2 linked regions of the Bombyx mori genome follow. Each later gene encodes a partner of the first gene's protein in a complex. Links are inferred from orthologs where the notes say so. Each region holds a gene or a part of one and is shown in the gene's direction. Other genes may lie near its edges. The genes, in order: PDZ domain-containing protein 8 and Rab7.

Region 1 (3,834 bases):
CTGTGTAGTTAAGGTAGAAAATCGAATAAGAAGGGCAGAATTGTGTTACGTCATTATGGTAACTTTAATTACACTACGAATGAGTAACGACATGATGCGAAGTACAGTTGAGCGCACACTTACATAATTTGTGGTTTAAAGAAACATTCAACTTTTAGATTTCCTGAATCAAACTGAATCTAGAGCGTAATGTCGACGCAATGATTCTTGGGTGCGCAATAAATGTGTGTAAGAAATAACACACACAAAGATTCCACGAACACGGCAACTCTTTTAGAGGTTACGTGTGCGACTATTGCCGGCACACATGCGGAAGAATAAAGAGCGTTCCACTTTGGAATAATGTGTTGCTTTATCTAGACAAGCAATGCTGAACCGGTTTATAGATATAGTACTTCTTTTTACATCGTAGTTTGGAGTATCTTTATTTTTCAACAGAGGCGCTATATTGTTATGCGAGACAATTTTGTTTTTTTTTTTTTTGAAATGTCATAAATATACTTTTGATTTTGATATTTAGACAGCACTCACGGGCTTAATTTATTAATCGCTGGTTATACGCAATTATGGACTAAGAAAAACAGTAATTAAGTATTGGAAAATATCATCAAATATTCTATTATAATATCTGATACTAAGAGTCCCAAACAAGTTGAAAAAGGACACTGTAATCACTGTAATCTTATATGAAAACGCAGCTTTTACTCGTCCTTATAAATATTATAAAATACTTACATTACTTCTTTACTTTGCATACCAGAACCTAATATCAATAATTGAAACTGTACTCAATAGTATTTTCTTAGAAATAGGTCAGTGTTAGTTAGAATAAAAATGGATGTGTAAATTCATAAAATAAAATATAGAACTCTGTGTCCAAACAGTTAAAAAATTTGAAATAATATTTATGTGCGATCTTGAAAAATTATCCTATTTACATGGTTCGATTTAAGGCGATGCCGTCACCCGTTCCGTATTGTCAAGGACAAGTTCAATATATACCTATCCAATTTACTGTCGCTCTTTTCAGATGCCAAAAAGTTTTTTAGTATCACGTGAAAACAATTACGCAGTAATAGTTTAATACATTAACAGGCTTGAGCTGTCCTCCTCCTGAACTGATTATGACAGAAGCTGACTCGGTTCCCGATCCTGACTCCGACGAAGAACCCGATAGAAAAGATTCACTTGAAGTTCATGAAGAAGGTGAGAACAATTTCAAACACAACCATTCAAAAACGAATTGAAGTCGACTGAATTAAAAAAAATTCAAAATTCAAATGATTATTCTAGAAAAATCATCTAAAATTTCAAATTTTCACTACTAACAAGGTTAATTAACATAATACGATTTTTGGCGAGTTATGTTCGGTTTTATTTTAATTATTATTTTCACTGATTTACTCGATCGAATTTACAATATACATAAAATTTAAGTATATAATTGATTTTTGTTAATATTATTGTTTACGGTTATGTTCTTTCTGCGCAGACGAATTGCTTGAATGCTGACATTTGGGAAGCAATACACTATTCTAACACACCCGGACTCATTCGACTTGTCCCTACGACTGTGCAGGTTTTATTATATATTTTTAACAACGTTTATCGTGACTGTCCTAATTTGTCCTCATTGTGTAAAGGCATTCCCGCTATTTTGGGAAATTGCAGTAAAATTGTTCATTTCCGTTCCAATTAATAGATGATCAAATCATAAAAATAACAAGTTGTTATAGAATACATATCATTATATTCTACTACGTAAAATTAGAACCATAAGTTAAAATAAACATAATAGTTTATTTATTTGTATATATATCCATATTTAGTTTTGTTTCTGAATAAATTAATTACATATATATTATTAAACACTAAAATGAAGTGTTAATTAAAATATGCATTTTTTAAACAATTACTGTAACAGAAGATCGATTGAACTTGACACTTGCATAGAATAATAATAATATGAAAATATTTGACTGAAAAAAATACTGAGGCCGTGGAGGTAAAATGAATAACAACTATGGTAAATAATATTGTTCGACTTGAAGTTTATTATAAGAGTTGTACATAGTTAATACTTCGAAGAAATAATGTATAATTGACACGAACAGCTTAATTAAAATAAATAACACTTGCTTTTTGTTTTGTTCTATACATAAAATATTTAAAACAGAAGATATGAAATCTCAAGAAATCTCAAGTTTTTATTATCGAGTTTTTTTGGTCTGACACGCCCTTTCTAATATTCATGTCTTTACCACCTGGATTTGGAATATAATTTCGCCATTCCGAGGGCAAGTAGCTCAGGCCTAGCCTAAATTCATAAAATGTAATTATATGTAATGACAATTACAATGATAATAGCTAATTCGTCCCCGGATATAAGAAAGAAAAATGCAAAAAACTTTAAAATATCAAACATAAATGGACCCAAAATAAAACATCATTTTTTTAGAATATTCTTCAGCCATTTGTTCTACTTTATCATAAACTCATATAGCGCTAGCTGTTTTAATAGTAGTTGTAAGATATTTTGTATTTAAAAACAAAACATATTAATTAAACAACGGTAAGGCCCGATTCTGAAAAATTCCATAGTTAGGTTCTATTCCGTTTTGTATTCCAATAATGTTATTGTAACGGGTTAACCGGGATTTGAGTATGGTACACGTCTCTGAGCGTCGTCGTGCATACGCATATTAAGCTATATGCTTGTGTCTGTGTTGAAATCCCGCAGGCGGGTACCAATTTTTGTAATGAAATCTATAACAAATGTTCACAATTGAAGTTCACGGTAAAGGAATACAATCTTGCAATAAAAAACAAACCCGCAAAAAATATCTTTTGCGCAATTACTAGTGGTAGGACGTCTTGTGAGTCCACACGGTTAAGTATCACCACTATATCGTGAAGCAGTAATACTTGCAGTAAGGCTTGAAGCGTGGGGCAACCGTACTGTAGAAACTAAGACTTTAGAACTTATGTCTGATGGTGGGTGGCGGAATTAACATTGTTGATGTCCATGAGCTCCGGTAACCACTTAACATTAGATGGTCCGTGAGCTAGTTCCCCCTCAAAATCAATAACAAAAATTGTTTGCCCGAATACGGAATCTCTAATACCAAAAACATGTATAATATACGAATACCTTGTGGATGTAATGGCGGACTCATTCCGATAGAGGCACCCGTCACATGCGGACGTGCTCATCGTCCACTCGATCGCCCGGTCTTTGTTCGCCCGGCTTTTGTTAGCCCGGCCATTGTTCGCGCGGCCTGTGTTCGTGATACATCTGCCGACCAAGTGTGTTTCCTGGAAGCTTTTATTTGTTTTGTTTTAGTTATTTTTGTGTTCGTGGAACATTTGCCGACAAAGAGTTTTCCTGCAAGTATTTATTTGTTTTGTTTCTTTTTGTAATTTCTGTTTTGTTGTGCTTTTTCTTTGTCCTGTAGTAATCGCGCCGCATTGCCACCTGTGTTCAATAGAACCGCTCAGGTCCGAGAAGTTGGGGCCTCGCCGCAAGGCGAGTGTTTTCAAGACCCGGGGCCGCCCCACCTGGGTACTCAGCGATCATGGACGCTGTATTCGCGGAATTCCTCCGACTTCGCCACCCACAGCTCGCCTCAGAGTTTCTGGCCTTCAAGGCCAATCGCACTGCGAGCCCTCTCGAGGACTCCGCCGCGCTCGCTGCTCCTGCGTCGCCTGTACCTGCGTGCAGAGCTTCTGCATTGAGCACCGCAGCCTCTGTCGTGCCTGCCGCTCCCGTGTCGCCTATACTGGCAAGAAAAGCTGCTGCGTCGTCCGCCGTGACCATCGTTTCAGCTGAGCGAT
Region 2 (3,881 bases), about 3.1 Mb from region 1:
AAGGGCAATAAAAAAAAAAAAAAAAAAAAAAAAGACTGGAGGTCGTGCCTGTAAGCTAGCGTTGTCCGCGCTGAGATTTTCTTGCAAGGGACGCTGCAGATCTATGTTTGTAGTGAATCGACTGCGATGCGTCTAGTCAAGCTTCGGTGCTGTCCCAGGTCCCCAAGTCACTGCATGTGAGAGAGCGCTTAACGTGAAACCGGCTATGGGAGACAAGAGGTTATTTATACTTTTTTGCGTTCTGTGTGATACTCTCTCCCTTTCTTTTTCGATCTCTCTCCCTCCCACTCTCATTCATCCTCTCCGCCTTCCTATCTCTCTTCCGCAGAAATCTCCCACTCGTACTTTACATAAAGCTTTGACCCCACTTTTAACTTATACATCAAAGAAAATTAGATGATATTTACTCTTGTCTTTTGTTGTTTGATTGTCTGATTTAAATTTAACATGTTAAAAACAAAACATTATTTGATGCCTTGAAGGTGATCAATTGACCATCAATTCATAGGTGGCCTTTCGAATTTCTTCTGAAATCATCATTTTTTAAAAATCGGCATGATATGTTTGAATCTGCGTGTGATTTTTCTAAATGTCAGCTGACGTTCAGCTATTGATCTATAGATAGAGGTAGTTTTCCAATTACAGCACAAGAGCGCATTATGCGGCATAATGCTCAACGTTGAATGTTCCAACTACAGCAACTCTTCGCACAATCGAGCACTCTCAAAAGTACTGCTCTCGCGTGATACTTGCAATCGATACCGACTCTGTGACAGAAAATTGACAAGTCTTTTTTCTTTAAGTTGGCATTGATCGAAATTTTGTTTATATTATCGTTAGTAATATTATTTAATGTTGAAAAAAATTGTAAGGCTTTCGTTTCGTCGTAGTTTCTTAGAAATCAATGTTAATTAAAACTGTGCTAACTTAGCGCACTCTGCTGATGCATTTGAAAACTAATTCATGTTCCAATTAAGCTTCAGCATAATTCGGCATTGTGCGTCACTGAGTCGCATTATGCTCTGTAATTGGAAAACTACCAGAGTACCGTACCTATGTAAAATGATTTACCATTTATGTGCTGGTAGCTTCTACGTACTCTATTCCAAAGAGAACAGTAATTGCTCTCTACGCTCGGCTGGTAACCCAGTAAACAGGTGACGCATTTACCATCAATTTCGTTTGATGTCAAAAGTGCAGACAAAGAGTGTGATTAAATTGTATTTTTCATCATTGTGTAAAAATTGTTGTGCAAAATGTCTTCACGGAAAAAGCTCCTGCTAAAGGTAATTATCCTGGGTGACAGCGGTGTTGGAAAAACATCTCTGATGAATCAGTTTGTCAACAAAAAATTTTCCAACCAGTACAAGGCGACAATAGGTGCAGATTTTCTCACAAAAGAAGTAATCGTTGACGATAGAATCGTTACGATGCAAATATGGGATACTGCTGGCCAAGAACGGTTCCAATCGCTTGGAGTAGCTTTCTATCGTGGGGCGGATTGCTGCGTATTAGTTTTTGACGTAACTGCCCCCAACACGTTTAAGTCCTTAGAGAGTTGGAGAGACGAATTCCTGATACAGGCATCACCTCGTGACCCTGATAATTTCCCCTTCGTAATATTGGGAAACAAAGTCGACTTGGATAATCGTGCCGTTTCTGTCAAACGTGGTCAACAATGGTGCCAGAGCAAGAACGACATCCCGTATTTTGAGACAAGTGCCAAAGAAGCTGTCAATGTAGAGCTAGCTTTTCAAACAATAGCACGCAACGCATTGGCACAAGAAACCGAAGCTGAACTCTACAATGAATTCCCCGACCAAATCAAACTGAATGCTAATGACAATGGAAGAAACAGGGACGGTGACAACTGTGCTTGCTAGACCACTGCTACTGCTTCAGCCATGGTTTTTAAAATGTTTCTGGTTTTTATATCCATAAATACATAGTGTAACACTAAGTAACTTGTGTTTTATGGATCATGTAAAAATGTATAGAATCTATAAGTACATTTTAATTTGAATTTTTTATCATGCACCTAATTATGTTGTCAAAATGATGCACTGGTAATTTTTTATTCTGTTCCGGTAATCTGTAAACATGTAAAAAAATGAGAATTGATGTTGACTTAAATACCTATGCCACCTTTTTCTACAATTCAATTTTAAAACAGTTGAATAAACAATCCAAATGAAAAGAATATTAAATTTAAATGTACCATTTCTGTTTGTGTATCAATTTTATTTATCTGTCAACATTAGTTATATGATGCTAAATTTGTTGTCCTTGACTCTAAAACTTTGATTACTCTGAATTTATCTATAGGCATATCTCATTTTTATTCTAATATTGTGATATACATACTTATTTTAATTACTTTATAGATAAATGATATTTAGCAATCATAGTACTATAGTTTTGAGGATAATATTATAACTAGAAGGAGAGCATCTTGTGTCACCATTGTTAAATTCTGTGAAACTGGAGTAGTCTATCTTAATCTATATACTGCATAGTATAAACACATGTAGCATGAATATTTCTGTATGTATATATTTGGAATTTAAATATTAGTTCTAAGTAGTTAATGATAACATTACTCAGCTTATAACAGTTGTGTTTTATGATCAAAGAGCAACAGGAAATAAGATCATATTACGGTGACACAACAAAGTTATAGTAAGGTCATGACACATAAATATAGATTACTTTCAATTCAAATCATTTTCTTCCTTGACTAGTCTGTGATTATCATCTGCAATATGGATCCTTCCAATATTATTTGATAACCTTTATATGCAAATAATTAATCACATTTTTAGCTTAAATGTTTCAGCCAAATTTTCAGCCTCAAGCTTAATTAAAGGCTTTTAAGCATCATGACCTTGCATTTTATAAGAAAGTATTATGTGAAAAAACTCACGTAAATTGCAAGTGTTCTATTAATTAATACATAAAATGCGTAAATTAAGAGTTAGTTTTAATGGAAGGTAACTAAAATTAACATATAATATTATGCTGTAATAATGGTTGCTTTTAATTTTATATCAATAAATAAACCAATATAAATTTGTTGTTTCAATTATGAATTAACATAGTAATAATTTGTTTCTAATTATTGTTGTATATTTATTTGTTTTTATATATTGTGAATAAATATAGACATGTCTGTAGTTCACATGCTGTAATAGTGAAACCTTAGCAAAATATAATGTTTTTAATTTCAGTATTACTTTTGTGTACACTATTGTAAATCACATCAGTGTTAAAGAAGTTTTCACTTCAATAAAATGAAAAAAAAATGGATAATTAAGAAATTTATATAGCTTAAGGAAAAATCTAACCAATAGTTGGTTTGTGAACTCATTGTGGCCTATAGGATAACACAGTCGTGTTATCGAGAGATGTGATAGTATCGGTGCTTAAATCCCTCAGGCAGTTACCAATTTTTCTAACGAAATATGTACCTACCTAATACAAATAGCTTCCACAACGAAGGAAGAACATTTTACAGATAACCCTCTTATAGCTACTGTATATACGTTCCTATAAAGTCCCGTGTTGAGCGAAACCGTGCTATCCAAGAGACTAGAAGCCAGTACAAAAAGGAGAGTAATTTTTCTGAATGAAACATCTCGACTATACCTCTATGTATTCTTTACCTATATACATAAAAAAATAAGCAGCAAAATTTCGGTTATACCAATACGTGGTGTGTTCATAGTGCATAATGTATTTTTTTAAATAAATATAAACAACAATTTCGTTATCTTTTTATAAAAGTAGGTATCGTAATAAATGAAAGTTTTCGCGATTTTTTCTTTTCGTCTTAGAGTAGAATTGTGTTGTAAAATACTGTGTTATTGGAGGGTTAGGTATAA

What was found.
Region 2: the proteins of PDZ domain-containing protein 8 (region 1) and Rab7 are in contact, whole or in part, in a crystal structure (PDB 7F6J), measured with the Homo sapiens proteins. The link is inferred for Bombyx mori from reciprocal best matches to the Homo sapiens genes PDZD8 and RAB7A. Residues at the interface, in NP_776152.1 of Homo sapiens: Ile999, Lys1000, Leu1001, Val1002, Arg1003, Lys1004, Glu1005, Gly1007, Leu1008, Asp1009, Asp1010, Phe1013, Ile1014, Lys1017, Gln1044, Leu1051, Asn1054, Asn1055, Val1058, Leu1077, Leu1084, Gln1085, Thr1088, Ile1092; in NP_004628.4 of Homo sapiens: Lys10, Leu14, Asp16, Ser17, Lys38, Ile41, Gly42, Ala43, Asp44, Phe45, Gln60, Trp62, Gly66, Glu68, Arg69, Phe70, Gln71, Ser72, Leu73, Gly74, Val75, Ala76, Phe77, Tyr78, Arg79, Thr98, Ser101, Trp102, Glu105, Phe106.

What each region holds. Positions count from the first base shown.
Region 1 is NC_085121.1:4,642,646-4,646,479, forward strand, and holds part of PDZ domain-containing protein 8, read left to right. Parts: intron 1-1,095; coding exon 1,096-1,206; intron 1,207-1,492; exon of another isoform or gene 1,493-1,579; intron 1,580-3,834. UniProt on the Homo sapiens protein: Molecular tethering protein that connects endoplasmic reticulum and mitochondria membranes. PDZD8-dependent endoplasmic reticulum-mitochondria membrane tethering is essential for endoplasmic reticulum-mitochondria Ca(2+) transfer.
Region 2 is NC_085121.1:7,695,078-7,698,958, forward strand, and holds Rab7 (Rab7), read left to right. Parts: upstream 1-1,177; 5' UTR 1,178-1,256; coding exon 1,257-1,883; 3' UTR 1,884-3,069; downstream 3,070-3,881.